3 linked regions of the Struthio camelus genome follow. The protein of the gene in region 2 purifies or fractionates together with the protein of the main gene of each other region. This does not show direct contact. Links are inferred from orthologs where the notes say so. Each region holds a gene or a part of one and is shown on either strand. Other genes may lie near its edges.

Region 1 (7,742 bases), on a different chromosome or scaffold from region 2:
TGTTTAAAGTTCTCCCAGTCATGCACAGCACAGTACCCCAAATCCCTTCACCACCTTCTGCCTCAGAAAGGGTCAATGTTCTTTACTCTTTGGATACAGAGAAAGAGCAATCCTATCACTAGTGGCATCCTCCAGCACAGTTCCCACCAGCATAGCTATTTTGTACAACCCCTTCACATTTCAGAAAAGTTGCTACATTCAAGAGATTAGATTTGAACATGTTAGGGGGCTATTAAGGGATGCAACCCCCCCCTTTCGGGCTTGTTCTTTTCATCACCCGAGATACTTTGCGCTAGAGACTCTAGGGCTGTCACAGCGGGCTCTCACGTACCTTTCCTTCGTGCACCGTGCGATGAGGCTGGCCAGGTCACCCCCGTCACAGTACTCCATCACGATGTACAGGGTCGTGCTGCTCCGGTCGATGATGCGATCGTAATAGCGGACGATGTTCGGGTGCTTCAGCTCACGGAGCAAATTCACTTCCGAAACAAGCATCTGCTTCTCTGCCTCTGTCATGGAGCCGTAGTCGAGCTCCTTCCAAACTAAGACCTTGGGGGGGGGGGGAAGGAAGGGAAGAAGGAAGGGGGGAAATTCAAAGAGACTGACACACGAAACAGAGCAGGGGGAGGACTGTTAAAGCCGCTCGCTTACGCCGAAGAGCCGCCGGGAGGCCGCGCATGCGCAGCACCACCGGCCCGCCAGGGCGAGGCGCGATGCGAGGAGCGGCACAGCCCCTCACCCTTGCCCCCCCCCCCCCCGCCTCACCTTGCCGTCAGCCTTGCGGCGCACCTTGCGGCACTTGCCGTAGGAGCCGGCGCCGATGGTGAGCAGCACCTCGTAGTCCTCGGGGCGGCTGGGCATGACGGCGCAGACGCGGCCCCCGCCGAGCCGAGCCGGGCCTCGGCACCTGCCGCGTTTAAACGCGCCGCCCCTCCCGCCCATTGGCCGGGCCTCCCAGCCCCGCCCACGCGACCCGCCTTCCCATTGGCTGCCCCGCCGTAAACAACGCCCGCCAGGTAACGGCCGTTACAACGGCCGCACCGCGGCGTCAGGGAGCCATCGCGAGAGCTGCCGCCTGCCCGCCGCTCTCCCTTCCCCCCCCCCCCCCCCCAACCACCCTCCCGGGGGGCGGCAGCGGCGGTGCTCTGCCGGGCCGGGGGGACGGGAGGGCCCTCTCCCGGTAGGCTTCGGAGAGCGAGGCGCGCCGCGGGTATCCGCGCTTCCCGTCAGGCCCGCTGAGGGACGCGGCGGCCGCCGGAGCTCCCCCTCGCTCGGTAACTTCCTCTCGCGGAGGTAGTCCGACGGAAGCAATCCCGGCCGCTGCCGCTGGGCAAACCCTTCGGCTCAAATGGGTGGTAAGCGCTGGCGAGCCTCTCCGGCGAAGGCCCAGCGCCCCCCCCCCCCCCCCGGCTGGATGGGGACGGCGCCTGGCCTTCCTCTCGCCCCCCAGTGCCGGCACAGGGGGCTGCTGGAACAGGAAGCGATCAACGCGTGGGGCGCTCGGATAAGCCATAAACATAACGGGTGTAGCGGTTAAAACAACAACAACAACAACAAAGATATTCGTAGCGAGCCAGGAAAAGAGACAGTCTTCCAGGAAAAACAATAAATTACTGTTCTCCCCTTTTCTAAAATAAATGTAGCTGTTGAGCAGATGCTGGTCAGAAAATTGGAAGAGCTTAATGGAGGGTTTTCTTAATATTAACAAGCATTAGCAAACTGAAAGTGCTTAAAATAATAAAAATTTGTTTCTGAAACATTCCTTTAAACCAATGAGGAAAATTCTTCATGATTCTTCAAGAAATTCTTCAATAAAATTATTTTCAAAAGTCATACCAGCTTTACTATTATACTGTATACAGATAGCTTTAGAAAAGAAGCCTAATAAATCAATAACTTACAATGTAATCCTTTTAAAACGGGAATATAGGCCTCCGATTCCAAAAGATGAGTCAGTAGTTTTAATATATTAGATAACATTATGGGGATATTTTTAAAGGTATGTAATGTATTTTCTAGCATTATTTAGGGTAATTTTGGAGTGATACTGGAGCGGAGTTCTGGTTTCAGTTCTGCTTAATCCCTCTCCTTGTGGACGTGCCTGTGCTTGAGGCAGCGACTCCTAGTTCTTCAGCAGAGTATTATAACTCACCAGTATAATTTCTGGATCAGGCACAAAAGGGAGTTGTTCTCAAGCTTTCAGCAACGTGAGAGATTTTCAGAACATGGCCGGAGGACAGAGTAATATCTCATATCGCATCTACACATGGTCCCATTAATCATTTCCCCATTTTGTTTCAAAAGGGTTTGAGGGGCTTAGGGGGTCATGGTGTTACTGAATATTTATAAAATATTCTTATATTATTAGCCTTCAGAAAAATCTAAGCCATTACTTTCACCAGCAAGAGGCACAAAAGCTCCTGTTATCCATTATAAAGATCCTATAGCTTTCTATTCACAGATAATGTTTGTTCATTACAGAAAAAATGAGCAAATGAATTATACAGTGTAAAAACATTTTAACTTTGTTAATGAGTAACAGGGTGCTCTGAATGACTCATTTTAAGTCTGATTTTAATTACCTTAAGAAGAAGATCCTCATCATTAGCATCATAAATAAAATATGACATTATGCAATAAGAATAACAAAAAATACTGTATTATTAGGCAGGCTGTAAGCTTCATTTCTGATTTCAGATATGTCTCAGTTTCAAACTTCTGTACTTTCAAGCAAAAGGTCATGACACGTTCCCACTGTTATGAAAGGGAGTCTTTCTATTTGTATTTCAAAAGAAATAGAGTAGGTTTTGAATACTGTGTTTGCTCTAGGGGCTATCTTGAAGTTTTCTTTAGGAATGTAAGTTTGAATCAGAGAAATGTCAAAATGTCATGCTCCAAAGACCAGCAGCATAGTAATTTTAGTTCTGATTACACTTGTTTTATTTTAAGAGTTGGGTAATTTGAGAAAAATTCTTTTTCTAAAAGCAATCAATAAAAATTTCAGGAGGTACCCTGTTTTCTTTCCTTCTGTCTGATTTCCACCCTGGTCATATGAGAGAACCCAAAGAGTCCAATGTTTCCAAGTATATATTTGAAGTTTAAATGGAGGCCTCTCTTGTCACATGCTGTATTTTTAATCTCTGATGTCTAGTCTAGAAGCAACTCAAGTTTCTAGTCTTGAAAGTGCACGTGCTGACTTCAGGTCTTTGAAAGCTGCCAAATAGTTCTCAATAATCCATTTTTAGTGTTGTTTCTAATGTTTGATTCTGCTTTTTCTCATCAAATTTCATTAATCATTTTCCAAAACTTAACAAAAACCTAAGATTCTTCTGTTACTTTCTGCCAAAGTTTGTCAGTTTTTGTGCCATAAGGTTCCTTTTCTCTTATTCCAGGTCATAGTTATTTGATAAAATATTAAATGCTGAAGATAAATAGTAAGATCAATGCACTATTTCTTATAAATATTTTAATTTTTGTGCATGGAAATAACTAACAATAAATGCCTAACACTTTGCTGTGGGAGTCCAGCCAAGTATATCTATATAGATAATATTTAATAGCAGCCTAGTTTTTTAAAATACTATAGCAAATTAAACTACGTTTCTGAGAACTTTTCTGGTAATGAAGCAAAAAAAATTACCTAGAAGTACATGTTCAGGAAGAGAAAAGAAGCTCAGTAGGAAGTACTGAAAGTAAACATAGAGGATTATAGTGAACAATAATACACTTTATAAAAATAACTAGAAAAATATCTGAGGAAAATCCTGTCTTGTCTCTTCAAAGAGGTGATAGACATGTAAAATCATGTTTCTGGACCTCAGAAAGGTGCCGAGTCTTCCAGCCAAAAAGGAGGAATTGAGTACCTGAAAGATCTTAATAAGTCCTTTGAGTGACAAGAAGAGAAATTATAAATATTGGGATGATTGAGACATCAGTGTTTTATTTTAGTTCATCTTCTCCACGTGAGTATTTTGTTTTTTTAATATTAAATTGGATTTGAAGTCCTGACACGTAGTTATGGATATTCTGTTTTTTTCTTACATTTTTTCTTTTGCTCTTGTGCACAGAAATCTTGCATTTACCCAGGTTCATTGTACATAGATGACATAACATCTTTAACTCTGTTTTTCTAGTTGATGACTTTGTTGTAAAAATTCACGTCTCAGGATTAACAAACACACACAAATACTGGGATATTAGACAGCGGTACTCTCCTCCTTCAGACACATCCCCAGTGTGGCAAACTTTCTGAATTTAAACAGATCATTAGTTAAGCAGAGATTAATGAAGCATGGTGGTTGTGGATTTAAAAAACAAACAAACAAAAACCTTGTATTGTAGAATAAATTAATCTGGTGAAACAAAGTTCAGAACAGTCACTTTGTTTCTTTTAGGCCTGAATTCCAGAATGCAAGACTTCTTTCCAAACTCTTGACTAATGTTCTCTGGGTTTGTGGGATACTGCAGTTTACAGTATCTAGAATCAGAAAATTTGAGATATAATCAGAAGGAATATTGATTTTGATATCTGGGCCAGACATCCACATTGAACGCACTCACATATGAAAGATGAGAAGAACAGTCTAAAATGCCGAGGGACTTATCCATGGCATGTTATTAAATGTCAGAAAAAAAGTATCAGAGAGTCAAATTTCCTAGTATTTTTCCTGAGCTGGTTTGGGAGGAAACAAGAACATGTTCATTGAAGAAATTCTGCACAACACAGCTGTGGACAGGACAGCTAAGGAACAAAATTCAGAAGCAGTAATTATAGTGATTAAAAATACTATACTTTTCTTTTTTTTTTTTTTTTAAGTGTTAGGACTCAGAGCTATCTCAGACTCCAAAAGAAATGCGTGCAGCAGGCAAGCTTCAAAAGGGGAGTTTGTTGCAGCAGCTGTACCTTTATGGTTTTCCAATACAAACTAGAAAAATTAGGAAAATAAAAAACACATGAGTGAAAACAAATGCGGCAGCAGTGGAAGTTTTTGCAAGTACTGAAAGAAGAGCTAACTGCATGGGAATTAATGAGGAGGAGACCGAGGAGAGTAAAGAAGACATACTTTTGCATTCAGAGAGGGGAACATACAAATTTTACTGAATCCAGATTTGCTCTACCCATTGCTTGTATTCTATAACTGAATATTTAAATACCTGGCTGAATATTTTGAAAGTGTGTCATTACTTAGTTCTCTATCTTAGAGTGAAACTAACAGCCCTATCTACTATATATGTCTTCACTTATTTGCTAATTTTTAAAATGAATATTATTTACCTTATGAACAGAAGGTGTTTGAATTGATCTTTAAGGGTGCTTTTTAAACTGATTAAGATACTCATTTTTTGAGGTGTAAAGAACTTCAAAAGTCAAATTCCTGAGTAATCTTAAATCCTAAATTCACCAACAGCTAAAGAACTGCTGTTGTCCCTAAGTAAGAAATGTAGTATAACAATTTGTGATTTCCCTTCTGGGCTGTCTTATAACTCAGTCCATGAAAACAGACAGTTCGGTCTCTGTGCCTCAATTATCCCTCTTTTAAAGGGGAAGTAATGTACTTACCCTCCACGGTGAAGCTTATAGGTAGTACACCTCAAAATATTTGACTAAAGGATGCATTAGACAATACAATAGATAAATATATTGCTGGCCTCAACTGTCCAGTTTAAAAACAAAAAACAAACAAACAAAAATTTAGGGATTTCTTTTGTAGAATTGTTTATCTCAAATATTATTCCATGAATTTTTTTTTACTTACAGTCTCTTCAAATATATTGAGGTACAGCTTTCACCAGATCTGCATACAGTGTTATTGTCACAGGCATTTTCATTACCACAGCACTCATTAATTCTCTAACAGCCGTGACTATGGATACATGCCACCCATAAGAATAGTAGATTTTCCCCTATCTTGGTGTCCCTAAACTCAAATTACAAGAAACTGTTTGCTTGATTTTACACAGGAAAGACTTGAATTTTGGAGCTGCTGTGCACCTGTAACTCGAATTGCCTTAGCAGGGATCCTGGTATGCCAGTTTCCCAATGATGATACCAAAAAAAGAATTTAAAAACAAGACAGTCCAAATGTGACCGTCTGGAATAGTATTTTCCATTGAGAACATGCCAGTTGCCTAGAACTTAACAAACAGTTTTTATTTCACATAGAACTGATTTTTTTGTCTAGCTCCCTATGGAAATGGAACTTAAGTGACCATATCACAAGTATGTTTCTACTAGCCCTCCATCCCTCCCCCATTAACTTACTCCTAAAAATAATTACCTTCCTACACGTTCCAAAAATATAACTGAGCAGATAGAGAAGGAAGATCCTAAAGAGTTCAACTATGTTATTAGAGCAGAGAATCCACATGGATTATTATTATCCTTATGGATGGACTCACATTAATGTTGATGCAGTTGCAGGAAAATCTTTGACTAATGTGTGCACTCTAGACACCAGAGAATCTAACCATGCACTACAAATCCAAAGGAAAACAAGCTTCATTAGCTCCTCTGCTTACTGAGCTACCTGTTTTTTTAAGATGTTATCTATTATTCTAAAACCAAACTGAAATCAGGTCAGGTGAAATGTAGTCAGGTGATTACAGTGAGTAAGTGCTTTCATGTGGAGAAAATACCTGGTACTTACAGGCTCTTTAGACTAATGGAGAAAGGCATAACATGAACTAATTTTTGGAAGATGAATCAAATAGGTTACAGGAAAAGGCACATAATTTTAGCTGAGAGGATTATCCTGACCCATGGTAAATGCAACCATGTAGAAAATATCAAAAGTTACCTGGAAATATCTGGGACCAGGTTCATGCAGGACCTACTGCATGAAAGATCTCTATTCAGGGCTGATATCACCATCCTGGGGATTGCCTGTTCAGTAGCATTATTTACCCTAGGCCTATGACAAAGCACAGGAAAAAATAAGTCAAAAGGGTCACTGCAGCACAGGGTGGTTTTGTATCCAAATAAAAAAAATATCTATTGTCAGGCTTTCCTGGAAAGGCTGGACTACACAATCAGTAACTGGAAGGCGTTCAGAGTGCTTAAGTAAAAATACTAATAGGGATATATTCACTGCAATTGGCAGGTGGCTATGCTTCAACTGTCTGTGCATGGCATGGTCTCACAAAGGAAGGACACCTATAAAAAGAGCAGAGCTGTCTAAAGAGGCTAAATACATCACGAATGGCTGTGTGAAGTCTGGAGCTAGGACCAGCCAGTTCCTAAGACATCATCCTAAACCAACCTCAGTCCTTGGCATCCTTGCATACGCTCCTAGAGTATTATCTCAGAACTGTGCCTGGTTGTAATATCACATCCTGAACCCACTGCTAAGGATTATCAAGAAACATGGAAAGAGGTTCACCAGTGCTCAGCTCCTGCTCCTGAGCCAATTACTTGATAAAGGTTGTCTTAGAGATCAGCAGTTGTTCCTGGGGAAGATCTCCTCCAAGTCCTCCGTAAGACACATCAGCATTGGAATGACGTGCCTGCCTGAAAGCCTCCAGTGCTGATGATGAAAGCCTTCAAACTGGTGAAACTTGTTCCATGGGTAAAAGGTGCTGGCTGCCTAAGTATCTTCTGGTGGGTGGCAGGCCCCAGGCTGCTGAAAGTCCCAGTTGCCTAAAAGACCTCTGCTGGGTGGAAGGCTCCTGGAGGTAGAGCAACCCCAGTGCTGTCTCCCTGTCTGTTCTGGAGAGTGCCTCCATGTGTCCTCTCATCCTTCAGT
Region 2 (7,533 bases):
AACAAGCCCAACAATCACTTCCTACCACAATTTAAGACTTGTTCAGAGGGGGCAGAGGGGAGGAGAGAACTTTCAGTGACACTTGCTGCATTTACTAGTTACGGAAAGTCTATCCATTAAATAATTGAACACTGAGATACTAACAGTACAGGTATACAGCCATAACAGCAACACAGCCTTGGAGTTAAAGCATCACTCAAGTGGATCTCAGCAGATGATTACCTTGAACAGTTAAAGTCTAAGAAAACCATTTGTTTTCAGGATGTTTTTCAGAAATATTTTAAAAGGCATTCAATCTGCTTCTCAGCACATGGGATAAATGGCTTTATGTTTGAGTTGAAGAGTTTTAATTGACCACAACAGGAAGTACAGTAGGGGTCTGTTCTCTACTTAAACTCTGGCACTTTTATTCATATTAAGGGTACGTGTGCGTAAGGGGAAGCCTAACCAGTGAACTGGAAGCTTTTCAGGACAAGAACTTCATATACTTAAGACCCAACATTTACAAGGCAACATACACACAGAGATTTCATTGTTTATCTGCCACAGTTCGCATATTACGACTGTAAGGATGACAGTTTTTCCTGGAATGACAAACCCTGTAGACATTTGCAAGCCTGGGAGAGAAGAGACAACTAGACAGGAGAAATCTCTGGAAGGACAAAAAAAAAAAAAAAAGAAGTACCACCACCACCTTTTACAAAAATATTGTTAAACACACAACAACAGTCAACCAGAGATAAGTACTTGTAATTTTCAGTTCCCATTAAGGCTGGAGTACAACAGACTTCATTTTGCAGTATGAATTTAGATTGAGACTGATCACTGGACACATTACATCAATAACACAATAAATATGAGCTGTTTTGGAAAGTCACTGTAATATAGCGGTCCAGTCCCCACACCGCTGCCCCATCCATCCCCAAGAAAGACTACAGGTGACCAAGGCAGCCAGGCTTCTGTCAAGTCACCAGCACAGAATGGGGAAGCAAGCAACTAAAAAAAAAAAAAAAAATCTGTTGGAGGGCAGAAAAGGAGTGAGCATGTTTAGGAACAGAAATTCATTCAAGCACAGTCAGGACCTGGGGAAAACTCAAATGTTGACTTCGTTTTGGAGGGTGCACTGGTTACTTCCCTGCCACTGAAAGGAGCAGTGGGACCAAGGCTACAGCTACCAATAAATCCCACACTTACTAGTACTGCTGTAAGCATAGAACAGCAGCAAGGCAGACAGTAGTAGAACCACTGACCAAAGAATTATTTGGCATTTCAAAGTAGATGGAGTCAAAATGGATATATTCAATCTAGCAAAGCCCCATCAAAACATATTCAAAACATATTGGTAAGTGCTCAAGTATGGAGAATGTCATTAGATAGGTCTCTACATTTCTGAGAGAAAATAAGACTGCGCTTTTCTGCTAGGGAAGTCTCAGAACAACAGATTATTTTCCACTTGGTTAGTCTAATTAGCACAGTACCGGAAACATTAACTATTGTTTCCTGTCATTCACTCCAAAATACACATTCTTCCTTTTCTATTGTAAATGTTTTCCTAGAATACCCAACTGATGCAAAACAGCAGTCCAGCTCCAGCATCACCGCAACAGCTTGAGTACAACCACTGCAGAAGAGGAACCAGCTGGCTGCAAGCATTTCCAGCACCCCATTGACTGCTGCTCTCAGAGCAGACCAACAGAACAACAGCACCAAGGGCACAAACCCCTGCTCTGCAGCAGCAGGGCCATCACTGCCACCATTTTGCATGGACAGGGTCAAGAGAGCAAGGTGGTCTTCCACAGAAATCTTTCTTCCCCCTGATCTTCTTCTCATTAAAGGAAGGGAGGAGAGCCATAAGCAATGATTTCACTCTGTTCATTACAGTACAGAATTCCTGTACTAACAAAACACAGCGAGAGGTTCTTCACCTATCAAGGGAAAAAGTGTTAGAAAAGCCAAAATACAAAAGGAAAAAGAGGCATGAAAAAGAAGAGCAGTTAATGGAAGATTACAGAAAGGCTGAAGCAATGTGCATATAGGAAAGGTGGAAAGAGGAAGCAACTTCTTTAGTTTATGAATCCTGTGTTTTGGATGGGAAGACTAAACCAAGGGTGGGAAGTCCACCAGGAGAATTGCAATTAGACTAAAATATGGTAGGGAAACGATGACATTTACGTTATTTTCTCTTCCAGGTCTCCTATCAGTCTGACGATACCAGCTCCTGGGGAATAAGGCACGTCCTTCATTCGCACGACACATACAGAGCCAAGCACACCGTGAGCATTTAATAAAAGGGAAACGGCAGCAAATGCCGACAGGTAAGCGAGATGGAGAGAGCAGCATCAACAGGTCTCCCGGGGGATCCAGGGGGTGGGGGGGAAGCAGAGGGGCCTCTTCTGGAAGCAGACTTGGCTGCGGCGCTGCAGGCGCCCGACACCTCCTGCGGGGGGGGGGACACCGGGCGGGGATCCGGAGGGGCCCGAGCACCCCCTGGGGGCGGGGGAAGCCCGTCCCTAGGGTCGCCCGGAGGGCAGAGGAAGCCCAGCAGCCCCACGGCGGCTGGAGGGTCCCAACGGGCAGGGCAGAGGCGCCCTGCGGGCCGGGCCCCGCTCGCACCGCCGGCGGCCGCGGCAGAGGGGCAGCCCCGGGGCCCGCAGCCCCCGCCGGGAGCGGGCCGAGGAGGGCAACGGGGATCCCCCGCGGCAGGAGAGGGCCCGGCGGCCGCGAGGCCCCCGCGGCGGGACCGGTTCCCCCCACTAGGCCAGGCCGGGCCGGGCCGGGCCTTCGGGCCTGAGCGCGGCGGCGAGCCCGAGCCCGTGCCGCCCAGGGGTCGGTACCTGGACGGGTTCCTGCAGCACCGTCATCCTGCTCCCCCGACCTCCGCCTCCTCGTCGCCGAGCCCGGAGCGCGGCGGCCCCGGCCCCGCCTCAGTGCGTGTCCCGGCGGCGGCGCGGCCCGGCCCGGCCCCTGCTCATTTAAACTCCCAGCGACCGTTACCGGGGCAGGCGGCGGGGAGGGAAGGAACGAGGCCGGCCAAGCGCCCGAGTCCGCCCGAAGCTGGCGGCGGAAACACCCGAACGCGCTGGCGGAAATAGCCGAAGCTGGCGGCGGAAAGAGCCGAGCGCTGACGGAAAACAGCTGGGAAAGCCCCCGCTCGTCGGCGAGGCGGAAGAGCCCGAGCCGGCGGAACCGCCCGAGCGCGGCCGGAGATTGCCGAGCGGCGCGGCGGGGCGGGGCGGGGGCCGCAGGGGGGAGGGAGGGCGGGAGGCGGCCGGGAGCGGGGGGGGCCTGGCGGCGCTGAGGCGCGGCGGGGCCGCTCGGTGCTTCCCCCCTCTCCCCCCGGCAGGATCCGGTTACGACCCGCTCGGTTGTTTCCCTCAGAGCCTCCCTGGCGGCTGCTGCCTCAGGCCTGCAGCCCCCGCCGGGTTAAATTAAATTAAAAGCTGCCGGTAGAGCGGGTGGGCAGCGCCGTTCCCGCCCGGGCCGCGGAGGGGGGAAGCGCTCCTGCCGCGGGCTACCGGCTCCCCCAGGTGCCTGTAGCCCGGGCAGCCCCGAATAGCGTATTTACAAGTTTGTAGTCGCTCCGATAAATCTGCAGGTGTTTGCTTTCAGGGTGTAGGCGGCTTGGCACCCACAGGCAAGGCGTTCTTCGCTCCCTGACCGGAGAGGAGCGAGAAAATGGGTCACGGAGCAGTGCTTCCCCCTAACATGGAGGCCCGGCTGACCGTGGGGTCGGGCGCCCAAGGCCATGGGCGCCGCCGGTGCGATCCGGTGCAGCCTAATGGCCTTCGGCCGCGCGAGCCGACGGGGCCGGTGGTGTACGTACGCGGGCACGCAGCTTAGGGCTCCGTTCAAGGCCCACAGCGCGTCCTCTTCGGCCCCGTCTCGGCCTCGCCGCCCTGCCCTGAGCTGCTGATAGCTCCTCCGGGCCAGAGCTGGCTCCGTCCGGCTCTTCATTTCACAGGGACAGCGCCGACTCCCCCGAAACTCAGACCATCTTTGGTGTGCGTCTCCGTCTTATCGCAAGCTGAGGAGATACGGCCATAGGCTCTCCTTGGGCCGGGGGGTTATTTTTACCTCTCCTTGGAGTGCCCTGGGCTCGGAGTGAAGCGTCGGGCTATAAAAGGGCACAGCGTTGACTATCGTCTTGGGACACTCAGGTTCCTCTGGCCCTGACGTGCCGTTTCTGCGTGCGGGGACGCTCGCAGGTGTCCGCAGATGCTTTTTATAAATGTCCGCGGGACTAAAACCGCCAGCTCGTAGGGCTTTTTCAGTGGCAGAGGCAGGTGGTGGGGCAGCGAACGTACCTGGGGCAGCTGGACAAACAGGGCTGCCAGTTGGCATCCTCAGGACGGCTTTGCTTAGCAGTTGTGTCCTGCCTGTCAGGATGCCCAAACGGCCAAGCACGTGAAGGTTACACCAACAACCTGGTCAAGGGTGTGAATCCACCCTCCTCTTCCCTTTGCCCCTCACCGCCCCACAGCGAGGACTTGTATGCAGGGCTGATTTCGACCAACGGAGGTGGCAGGGCATGAAAAGACGTAGGTTTCCACTACACCTGCTAAGTGCATCATTCCAACCGGTCTGGGTATAAATCAGCTCCACTTTATCCCAAAAGAAACAGAACAGGTCCCCCAAAGGGATGGGTGATTGTCTCTATCCCTGAGGGCACTTCAAAGGCTGGATTTCACGGCACTCATGTTTTATCTCATTCTCTCGCTCTTTTCCCTGCCGCTCTCTTACTGTCTGTCTCTTTGCAAGAACCTCTTTGGTTTTAATTTACGGTGTCATTCCAGTCTGCAAAGAAGCTGGAGGCTCAAACGCAAAGCTTACACTTTGCATGCAGGAGTGAGAGCGCGGCCTCTTGACTTGCCAGGGCAAGAATATCACAACTCGCAGGGCCCCCAGCCTCTGCTACAGATTTTCTCTGCAAGTTGGGGCAGGTCCCCCTGCTCGGTTCTACTGCTCGGTTCCTATCTGTAACAGCACGTTCCTCTGCCAGCGCAAATGCCATGGAGGTGATGGCAAGGGCAAACACAGTGTACTCTCTCATTCTGTCACCACAGTCCTTTAACAGGTTAAAACACAGATAATACTTTAAAGGCATGAGATGCCCAGATGCCCTCTAATGGAAGCTATAGAAATACCACAGACACAGAAGCTAAAAGCTAATCTTGCATCTACAAACAGCTCATGTTGCTGCTTATGAGCATTTGTATGCAGCAGTGGGAATTAAAAGCAGCTGTTACCCAGTCACTGAACGGAGTTGAGCAAGTGGCAACTGAAGTCAACTCCATTGAAGCAAAATATTTTGAATTTCTAGTCATAAGGCTCAGAGCAAGGACATTTGAATAAAGGACAAATCAACGAAAAGCATTATCTACTCCCAGGCACTCTGCTGAGAGGAGGGCTGAATTATCTGTCATGAATTATTTACCACTTCTGGGAGAATATGGTGATCTTTTGCAGGTAGGTAGAAGGAGAGAGCCACCGGCTTGCATTGCACAAGCCCTCCTGCTCTACATGCAACTTTTCGACGTAAGCAATATACTTGTGGCTTTTACACTGGTTGCTGCAAGTTGGATGGGCTGCATGCCTGAGAAAGGCCTGGTTTTAAGGAAGAGGTAGTATCTTTTACTAGCTCAAGAGCTTCAAGATCTTGGTACTTCAGCAGGTACCAAAAACCTTGATTTTTTCAGTGATACTAGTTGGGCTAAGAAAAGGTGCTTTCAGGTTAGACAGCAGGTGAGTCCCCATGAACAGAGGGTCTGTGGATGCAACCTCTCCCTCATGCCCTCTTTGCTCTACCAAAGCCTACCTAGATCTAGCAGCGAGACATGCCCAAACTGCAGTCCAGCTCCTGGCCCACACTGAGGGTGATGAATAAAGACCGTTACCTCCAAGTTTGAACTCCTGCCTCAAGCACAGGGGTCATAAAACCAGCCTTGTTTCCCTTTTCGAGGGAACATCTTGCCACGTCTGATCACTGGTGGCCCTGATCTCCTCTGTCTAACGTTTCACTGACTAGTCGAAAGCCAAAACACAGATAACTTAAGAGGGGAGGGAATAAAATTTAATGAGCCAAATGTCACAGGGGAAAACTTGAAAGAATAAGGTTTAAAACCAAGGGTCAGATGTGTATCCCTTTATATATTGAGGATCAGGCACACAAGTATGGAGGCAAACTCCTCGCTGCGGCTCATGAAACACCACTGCAGACTCAGGCCATCCAGGGAAGAAGGGATACAGACAGAGGAATCTCGCTGTTTGTGTTGCTCAAGTGGATTCAAACGCTTCCAAAAACCTGGGAGACGAGAATGAGAGGGCTTAATGCAATGAATCTTTGAAATGACAGAGCTGCTTCTCAGACGAACCCAAAATGTCAATAGCCGTCCTTCCATGCCTTTAAAAATCAGTGCTTCCTGCAAATAGTTTCATGTAGACTTAAACCTCCCCAGCAGCATTTGCCACTTAAACGCTTACATTGCTGAGCTGATGAACAGGAACCAGAGAGAAATAGATTAAAAGCAAGATAAGAAGGTGCTGAACATTCAAAAGTTCAGACTTCTGTCTGCCTCTGTTTTAACCTTCTGATGTTTGAAGAGATTTGTAGAGGAAAAGATATTTTTAAATGTTTAATTTGTGTATTTAACAGTATCTGAAGGTCAGATCTTTTTTCTTTTTCTTTCTTTTTTTTCTTTTTTTTTTTGCTTGCGGCCTTCTTTCACACAGCTGAGGAGAGGAAAAATGTTTAAGAAACAGATACTGAAACCAGAAGAAACTGGTGGGAGAGACTGGGAACAGCTGGAACAGCTCTTGTTAATTTGGATTTTCTTTTAAATTGTCTAGATTTTGAAGGCATAGTTTATACTGAAAGAAACTTGTTTCTCTGGTTTCCTCATGCAGACTTAGAGGAATGCAAAAAGGTTAACAAGCATAAATGGTGTGTTTGAGATATTCTTTTTAATGTTAATGCTAATAGGAATTTTGATATTTCTTAAGTATTGGCACAATTGGCTCCTTATTCAGTTCTTAATGTTGTCTTAGCATCAAGTCATCCATTTCTGCGGGTTTTAAAATATTTAGCTCCAGCGGTGTCTGTTTGATGACCGCCTTAGCTCCAGGAGGATTAGAAAATGTATCACTCTAAAACACATAAACCTCGTTCGTTTGAAGCAGAGACTGGCCACACTTCCTACATCACAACTGACAGTCACAGGGCTGGTCAGGACACATTTCAAACGGCACGAGCTACAAATGCAGTTCATTTTCGTGAACATTTCGTGCTTTCAGAGCTGGGGTTATTACTGTAGTATTATTCCACTTGCAGGGTTAGGTTTTGGGTTTTCTGTCCCTAACAGTTATAGCCAGTATTACCAATTTCAGCATAAACAGTGCGAGAGCCCGACTCACCTGAAGTCCCTTGTTTCAGCCAGACATGATATGCTTGACAAAAGCTAAGGAGAAAACGAGAAACGTGTGAGATGTCAGAGCATGCGCTAAAGCCTCAGGCATCTCAGCCTGGGGCTGGAAGGG
Region 3 (7,607 bases), on a different chromosome or scaffold from region 2:
CCAGTTCCCCCAGTTTGCCCCAGGACATCCCTAATGTCACCCCCAAGTCCCCCAGTCTGCCCCAGGACATCCCTGTCACCCCCAAACCTCCCAGTCTGCCCCAGGACACCCCTAACGTCACTCCCATGTCCCCCAGTCTGCCCCGGGACACCCCCAATGTCACCCCCAAATCTCCCAGTCTGCCCCAGGACACCCCTAATGTCACCCCCAAGTCCGCATTTGCCCCGGGACTCCCCTAACATCACCCCCATGTCCCCCAACCCCAGGTGGGGGCAGCTGGGGGGGATGCAAGGCCCAGGGCAGGGCACCCTTGGGGGGGGGGGGTTGGCAGGGTGCCCCAGCTCCCTGGGCTCAGTGGGGCACCCCAGGGCCCAGCCTGACCACGTGGGGCAGCCCCCCCCCCCCACTCTTTCCCCCCCCACCAGTGTGTGCGCGTCCCCCCCCAGCCGCGGCGGGCCCCCCGCTCACCAGCAGCACGTGCCGGATGCCCAGCTCGGCCTTCCAGTCGCGCTTGAGGACGTTGACGCAGATCTCGCCGCTGGGGCCCACGTTGGGGTGGAAGATCTTGGTGAGGAAATAGCCCTTGGGGGGAGCCGCCGGGAACTCCTTGCCCAGCACCAGCTTCATGCGGAAAACGCCCCCCGCGTAGGGGGTGCCTTCTGGGGGGGGGGGGGAGAGAGGGGAAAGGGGGTGAGAGCCGGTCCGGAGCCCCCCGCGCCGTGCGCTCCCCTCCCGCTCGGCTTGGTCGGGGGGGGGGGTCCCGTCCGCATGGCGGGGGGGGACACTGTCCCCAGGACAGAGGTTGCTGTGGGGACAGGGACCCCCGCCAGCCCCACGCTGGGGGGAAGGGGGGGGGGAACCCCGGGCCTCCCCCCTCCCCGTCTCACCGGGGCCTTCGATGGTGACCTGCACGTCGGTGATGTCCTCCTCGTTGGGGAAGAGCTTGATGCCGTCGGGCGGGTCGGACGTCAGCATCGACACCTCCTTGTAGACCAGCCGCAGGATGTGGGGCGGCAGGTTCTCCACGTTGGAGTTCTGGGAAGGGGGGGGGGGGGGGAAGAGGCGTCAGAGACCCCCCCGGCACGGACCGATCTCTGCAAAAGTCGGAGGGACCCCCAGGGCCAAGCTGCCTCCCGAGCTGAGACTGGCCAACTCGCTCCACGCCAGAAATCCCAGAGGCTCTTCGGCCGCCTCGTGCTCCACCCCTCCGGACGCGGGGTATTTTTTTTTGGGGGGGGGGGGGGGGGGGGGAGGCAGCCGCCTAGGGAACGAATCTCCGAGCGCGTCCCATGCGCCAGCCCCGGCCGGCAAAAGTTTGGGCAGCGGGTGCTGCCGGGGGCATCGTTAGCAGCCCCCCCCCCCCCCCAAAACACCTAGAAACGGCCCCGGATTCGAGACGAAACGTCCGAGAAGGCCAACAAGGCCTCGGCGCGCCGGGGAAGAGACCAGGAGCGCCGAGAACGGAGCCGGTCTCCCCGAAGGCCAAAAACATCCCCCCCCCCCCCACCTCCGCTTTCCGCCCCGAGGCCCCCAAGAGCCACCCGGCCCTCAGCACCCCCCGAAGACGCGCAGGGAAGGAGCTGCCGAAAGACGATTCGGGCAGCGACGCCAACTTATCCCCCCACCGTGCTGCCAAATCGTCTCCCCCCCCCCCCCCACCAGCTGGTAGCGAGCCCCCCCCTCCCCGCAGCCCCCAGCGCAGCCGCCGCGGCCCCTTTTCCCGGACTTATTGTTGATTTAGCGGACTCTCCCCGAGGCCTAGGCGGCCGCTCGGCCGCTCTCGCCCTGCGTTTGGACGCCTTTTCGCCCGACCCGCTGCGCAGCGGGTTGGAGGGGACGGCGGCGGCGGGGGGGGGGGACGGAGGTGGCGGTGGGGGGGGGACGGACGGACGTGCTTTTACTTGGCGGCGGGAGCAAATATGTTTGTCAGGAGCGAAGGCCTCGCGCGAGGGCAGGTCGCTTCCGGCACCTCCTTCCCCCCGGCCCCGGCCTGCCAAACCGGGAGCGAGAGCAGGCCCCGACCGGGGAGGGCTTCGGACCCCCCCAGACCAGCCGGAAAAGGGGGAAGCGACGGAGGTTTGGCCGCTCCCCACCTGCGGAGGAGCCTCATGCGACCCCCCCCTTTTTATTTATTTATTTCCCCCCCCCAAAAAAAAAAAAGCCGCTATTTTCCCTCGTCCGGCCCAAGGGAGCAACTCGGCGCGCTCAAACTTTCCCGTCCCGCAGCGGGACGGCGGCGCCTGGAGGTTTGGCGCTGCCCCGCGGCCGAGGGCTCCCCCAGACCAGTCCCTGGGGCACCTGCTGGGGGGGGGGGGGCAGAATTGGGGTGAGTGGGGGGGGGGGTGCCAGACCCTAAAGCCGCTCCGGTTTCACACTCACCTGCCAGGCACCTCGAGCCTCCTGCAAGGGAAGGAAAAAGGGATGAAACGACCCATTGCTGCACCACAGCTCGTGGGGGGGGGGGGACACCCCCTGGGGCTGCATTTAACCCCCCCCCTCAAATTAAACAGGCCCAAAGGTAGCAAGTTTCAGGCTGTTGCCCCTCTCGGGGCTGGTTTCAGCCCCCTCCTGGCTGGGCCCGACAGACCCACGTTTGGGGGGGGGGGAGAAGGGGCCATGTCCCCCCCCCCTCCCCCAGTCAGCTTGAGGGGAAACAGGCCTGGGGGGGAAGGGGGAGGCAGTTGGGGGGGGGTGGTGCCCCTCTTGCCCCCAAACCCTGCCCAGCTCAAAGTGTCCCCCCCCCCCCAAAAAAAAAAGTGCACGCAAGGGGCCCAGGCGTCCGGGGAGCACTCACCATGGCGCTAGGCCCGGTGGAGGCCGCTCAGGGCCCCCCCCCCTGCCCCGGGGGGGCCTCGCCGGGTGGCCGGGGGGGTGGGGAGAGGCAGGGTCCGCAGCAGGGCCCCCCTCTCCCCACCGGAGAGCGGCAGGTGCCCGCCGATCCGCGGCGCCGCCGCCGCCGCCCGCTCCCGCCGCTCCGGCCGCCGCCGCCCACCCGTCGCACTGAGCGCGGCGCGTGCTCTGCGCCGCCCTTTATAGCCTCTTGGCCCCGCCGGACCCGCCCCCTCCCGCACCCCGCGCCAATCAGCGCCGGCGGAGCGCGGCCGCTCGGTCCCGCCCCTTCGCCGCGGTTGGGGGTGGAGCTGGGCTACCGGTGTCAAGGGCGGGCGCGGGCCAATGGGAGAAGAGGGAGGAGGGGCGGGCGCTGGGCGCTGATTGGTGGGTTCGGAATACGAACGTCGCGAGGCGGAAGGGGCGGGGCGGGAAGCGGCGGTTGTTGACGCCGTAACGGTCGGCGGGCAGGGGCGGGGCGGGAGCGTTTGAAACGGCCGATTGGCAGGCGGCTCCGCCAATGGGAGGCGGGAGAGGCCGCGCGGGGCGGTGGGAGGGGAGGCGGGAGGGAGGGAAGGGCTTGACCGGCGGGGCGGGACTTCCTCCGCTGGCGGGAGGGGGCGGTTGCGTCACTGAGCGGCAGCCGGTGCAGCCAATCAGCGAGGAAGGCGTGAGGAACGGCCTCATTCCTATTAATGTATGTAAATAAGGGCTGTCGCGGGGGCTCATGGGAAAGCTTCGTCCGGGGGGGGGATGTCCTCCCCCAACGCACCGCAGCCCCATGGGACCCCCCTCAATCTGGGACCCCCCCCCAATCTGGGACCCCCAAACTGGGACCCCCCAAACCAGCCCCCCCAGTCCCATGGGACCCCCAAACTGGGACCGCTAAACCAGCCCCCCCCTCATGGGACCCCCCCCCAATCTGGGACCCCCCCCAATCAGCCCCTCCCATGAGACCCCCCCCAAACTGGGACCCCCCAAGCCAGCCCCCCCCAGTCCCATGGGACCCCCAAACTGGGACCCCCCCAAACCAGCCCCCCCAGTCCCATGGGACCCCCAAACTGGGACTGCTAAACCAGCCCCCCCTCATGGGACCCCCCCAATCTAGGACCCCCCCAATCAGCCCCTCCCATGAGACCCCCCCAAACTGGGACCCCCCAAGCCAACCCCCCCCAGTCCCATGGGACCCCCAAACTGGGACCCCCCCAAACCAGCCCCCCCAGTCCCATGGGACCCCCAAACTGGGACCCCCCTAAACCACCTCCCCATGGGACCCCCCCAAATTGGGACCCCCCCAAACCAGCCCCCTCAAACTGGGACACCCCAAACTGGGGCCCCCAAACCACCCCCCCTTATGGGACCCCCCCAAACTGGGACCCCCAAACCACCCCCCTATGGGACCCCCCCAATATGGGACCCCCCCAATCAGCCCCTCCCATGAGACCCCCCCAAACTGGGACCCCCCAAGCCAGGCCCCCCAGTCCCATGGGACCCCCAAACTGGGACCCCCCTAAACCACCTCCCCATGGGACCCCCCCAAATTGGGACCCCCCCAAACCAGCCCCCTCAAACTGGGACACCCCAAACTGGGACCCCCAAACCACCCCCCCTTATGGGACCCCCCAAACTGGGACCCCCAAACCAGCCCCCATGGGACCCTCCCCAATCTGGGACCCCCCCAAACCAGCCCCCCCAGTCCCAGGGACCCCCGAAACTGGGCCCCCCCAAACCACCCCCCACGGCCCCCCCCCAATCTGAATCCAGCCGAGTCCCCGGCCAGGAAACGTCTGTTTATTCCCCAAAATCCCTCCCGCCCTCGGGGCGCCCCGGCCCCCCCCCATCAGGCCACCAGGTTTTTTGCTTAAAATCGGGCTTAAAAACACCCTCGAGCTGGGGGGGGGGGGGCTCCACACGCGTGTGCGCGAGAGGGACACGCGTGTGCACACGTGTCACGTCCCCCCGCCGCGTGCAAACACGTGTCGCGGGGGGGGAGAACACGCACACGCGTGTGCTGCCGCCCCCGCCCGGGCCCCGTCGTGTCCCCCCTGTCCGGGGGGGGGGGACGCTAAGGCACATGGGCCCCAGGGAGGGACACGTGGGGCGCCGGGGGGGGGAACATGTGACACCCCCCCCATGCGTGTGCAATGCCACGGACATGCGCCGGCACGCGTGTGCGCCCGCGGCACACGCAGCCCCCCCCCGGCGACGGCTCCGCTTTTGGGGCCCCCCCTTTTCTATGGCTTCGATTCGGTGGGGACGGGGCGGCCCCGGAGGTCACGGGGGGGGCACACGCGTGTGCGAGCGCCCCGTGGCTGCTCCCGCGTGGGACACGTGTGCACACGCGTGTGCCGGGGCCCCCGGGGGGGGGTAGCCCTTGGTTCGGCCGGGGGGGGGGGCTGAGACCTGACAAACTCACTGGGACAGATATGTACAAGGGGAGGGGCCCCCCGAACGCCGGCGATGACATCATCGAAGCACGGCTGTGATGTCACGGGGGAGGAGGCTGTGACATCACTGGGAAAGGGGGAGTTAAAAAGGGGTGTGCTCTCTCCGGTGACATCAGCGAAGAGAGGTGACATCATCAAAAAGGGCTCCGCCCACCCCCACGGGAGGCGGAGTCTTGGCAGTGACATCATGGTGAGGCGGGCGCCTCCGCCCTGTGACATCATCACCGGGGGGAGGGGAACCCCCGCGGCTGTGACGTCACCGACGTCAGCAACGCCCGCGGCCGCGCCGGGCGTCATCGGTCGGCGACGGCGCCGCCCCGACCGTGACGTCATCGGGGGGCGACGGGAGTCCGCAGTGCTGACATCATCGGGAGTCGCGGCCCCCGCGGGCTTGACATCATCGAGAAGCGGCGAAGGCCGGGGGAGGCGCCGGGCGCCCCGGGCGCCTCTGACATCATCGCGAGCCCGGGGGAAGGCCGCGGGCTGCTGTGACATCATCGGACGGCAGGTCCGACGCTGTGACATCACGGGACGGCGAGTCCGACGCTGTGACGTCGTCGGGCGGCGAGTCGAACAGGGCGACGGCGCCAGCTGCTGCCGCCTCCGGGGCTGTGACGTCACCAGCCGCAGAGGCCGAGGCTGACGTCATCACCGCCAAGCCCGCGGCCGCGACGTCGTCGGCCACCGAGCACCAGGCTGTGACGTCATCACCCGCCGAGCCCGAGGCTGTGATGTCATCAGCCGCTGAGCCCGAGGCTGTGACACCGCTGGCCACCGAGTGCAGAGGTGACACCGTCAGCCCCAGGCTGTGACGTCGTGCGCTGCAGAGCTGAGTGCTGTGACGTCATCAGCTGCTGAACCCCAGGCTGCGACGTCATCAGCCGCCCAGGGCAGAGGTGACACCGTCATTCGCCGAGCCCCGGGCTGTGACGTCACCAGCTGCCGAGCTGGATGCTATGACATCATCAGCCGCCGAGCCCCGGGCTGTGACGTCACCAGCTGCCGAGCTGGGTGCTATGACATCATCAGCCGCCGAGCCCCGGGCTGTGATGTCATTAGCTGGCCGAGTCCAGAGCTGCACCGCGCCGTGCCGAGCCGTGTTGTGCCGTGTCGAGCCGTGTTGTGCCGTGTCGAGCCGTGTCGTGCTGCACCAAGCCGTGTCGTGCTGCACCGAACCATGTCAAGCCGTGTTGTGCCGTGCCGAGCCGTGTTGTGCCGTGTTGTGCCGTGCCGAGCCGTGTCGTGCTGCACCGCGCCGTGCCGAGCCGTGTTGTGCCGTGTCGAGCCGTGTTGTGCCGTGTCGAGCCGTGTCGTGCTGCACCGCGCCGTGCCGAGCCGTGTTGTGCCATGTCAAGCCGTGTTGTGCCGTGTCGAGCCGTGTCGTGCTGCACCGCGCCGTGCCGAGCCGTGTTGTGCCGTGTCGAGCCGTGTCGTGCTGCACCGCGCCGTGTCGTGCTGCACCGCGCCGTGCCGAGCCGTGTTGTGCCGTGTCGAGCCGTGTTGTGCCGTGCCGAGCCGTGTCGTGCTGCACCGCGCCGCGTTGCGCCGCACCGAGCCGCGCCGTGTCGTGCCGTGCGGTGCCGTGCGGTGCCGTGTTGCACGGTGCCCAGCCGTGTCGCACCCTGCCGTGTCGCACAGTCCTGTGTTGCGCCGTGCGGTGCTGTGCAGCGCCGTGGTGCACAGTCCTGAGCCGTGTCGCGCGGTGCCGTGTTGCACCAAGCGGTGTCGCACCACGCGGTGCCGTGTTGCACGATGCTGTGTTGCACAGTGCCATGTCGCGCGGTGCCATGTTGCACGGTGCCGTGTTGCACTGAGCCATGTCGCGCGGTGCCATGTCGCGCGGTGCCATGTTGCACGGTGCCGTGTTGCACTGAGCCATGTCCCGCGGTGCCGTGTCGCGCGGGTGCCGTGTTGCACTGAGCCATGTCGCGTGGTGCCATGTCGCGCGGTGCCATGTTGCACGGTGCCGTGTTGCACTGAGCCATGTCGCGTGGTGCCATGTTGCACGGTGCCGTGTCGCACGGTGCCGTGTTGCACTGAGCCATGTCGCGCGGTGCCATGTCGCGCGGTGCCATGTTGCACGGTGCCGTGTTGCACTGAGCCATGTCGCGTGGGTGCCATGTTGCACGGTGCCGTGTCGCACGGTGCCGTGTTGCACTGAGCCATGTCGCGTGGTGCCATGTTGCACGGTGCCATGTCGCACGGTGCCGTGTTGCACTGAGCCATGTTGCATGGTGCCATGTTGCACGGTGCCATGTTGCACGGTGCCGTGTTGCACTGAGCCATGTCGCGTGGTGCCATGTTGCACTGAGCCATGTCGCACGGTGCCGT

What was found.
Region 1: the proteins of CDC27 (region 2) and NEK2 purify together in Homo sapiens (affinity purification with mass spectrometry; 6 studies listed by BioGRID and IntAct, with this or other methods). This does not show direct contact. The link is inferred for Struthio camelus from reciprocal best matches to the Homo sapiens genes CDC27 and NEK2.
Region 3: the proteins of CDC27 (region 2) and UBE2S purify together in Homo sapiens (affinity purification with western blotting; 4 studies listed by BioGRID, with this or other methods). This does not show direct contact. The link is inferred for Struthio camelus from reciprocal best matches to the Homo sapiens genes CDC27 and UBE2S.

The regions. Positions count from the first base shown.
Region 1 is NC_090944.1:113,862,509-113,870,250, forward strand, and holds the start of NEK2 (serine/threonine-protein kinase Nek2), read right to left. Parts: upstream 3,005-7,742; 5' UTR 943-3,004; coding exon 766-942; intron 602-765; exon of another isoform or gene 550-601; coding exon 332-549; intron 1-331. UniProt on the Homo sapiens protein: Protein kinase which is involved in the control of centrosome separation and bipolar spindle formation in mitotic cells and chromatin condensation in meiotic cells.
Region 2 is NC_090966.1:4,355,325-4,362,857, reverse strand, and holds the start of CDC27 (cell division cycle protein 27 homolog), read right to left. Parts: upstream 3,006-7,533; 5' UTR 2,862-3,005; coding exon 2,835-2,861; intron 1-2,834. Other genes in the region: uncharacterized protein, read right to left, coding at 7,426-7,454. UniProt on the Homo sapiens protein: Component of the anaphase promoting complex/cyclosome (APC/C), a cell cycle-regulated E3 ubiquitin ligase that controls progression through mitosis and the G1 phase of the cell cycle.
Region 3 is NW_027182594.1:68,621-76,227, forward strand, and holds the start of UBE2S (ubiquitin-conjugating enzyme E2 S), read right to left. Parts: upstream 3,005-7,607; 5' UTR 2,798-3,004; coding exon 2,795-2,797; intron 2,401-2,794; coding exon 2,380-2,400; intron 1,036-2,379; coding exon 888-1,035; intron 660-887; coding exon 469-659; intron 1-468. UniProt on the Homo sapiens protein: Accepts ubiquitin from the E1 complex and catalyzes its covalent attachment to other proteins. Catalyzes 'Lys-11'-linked polyubiquitination.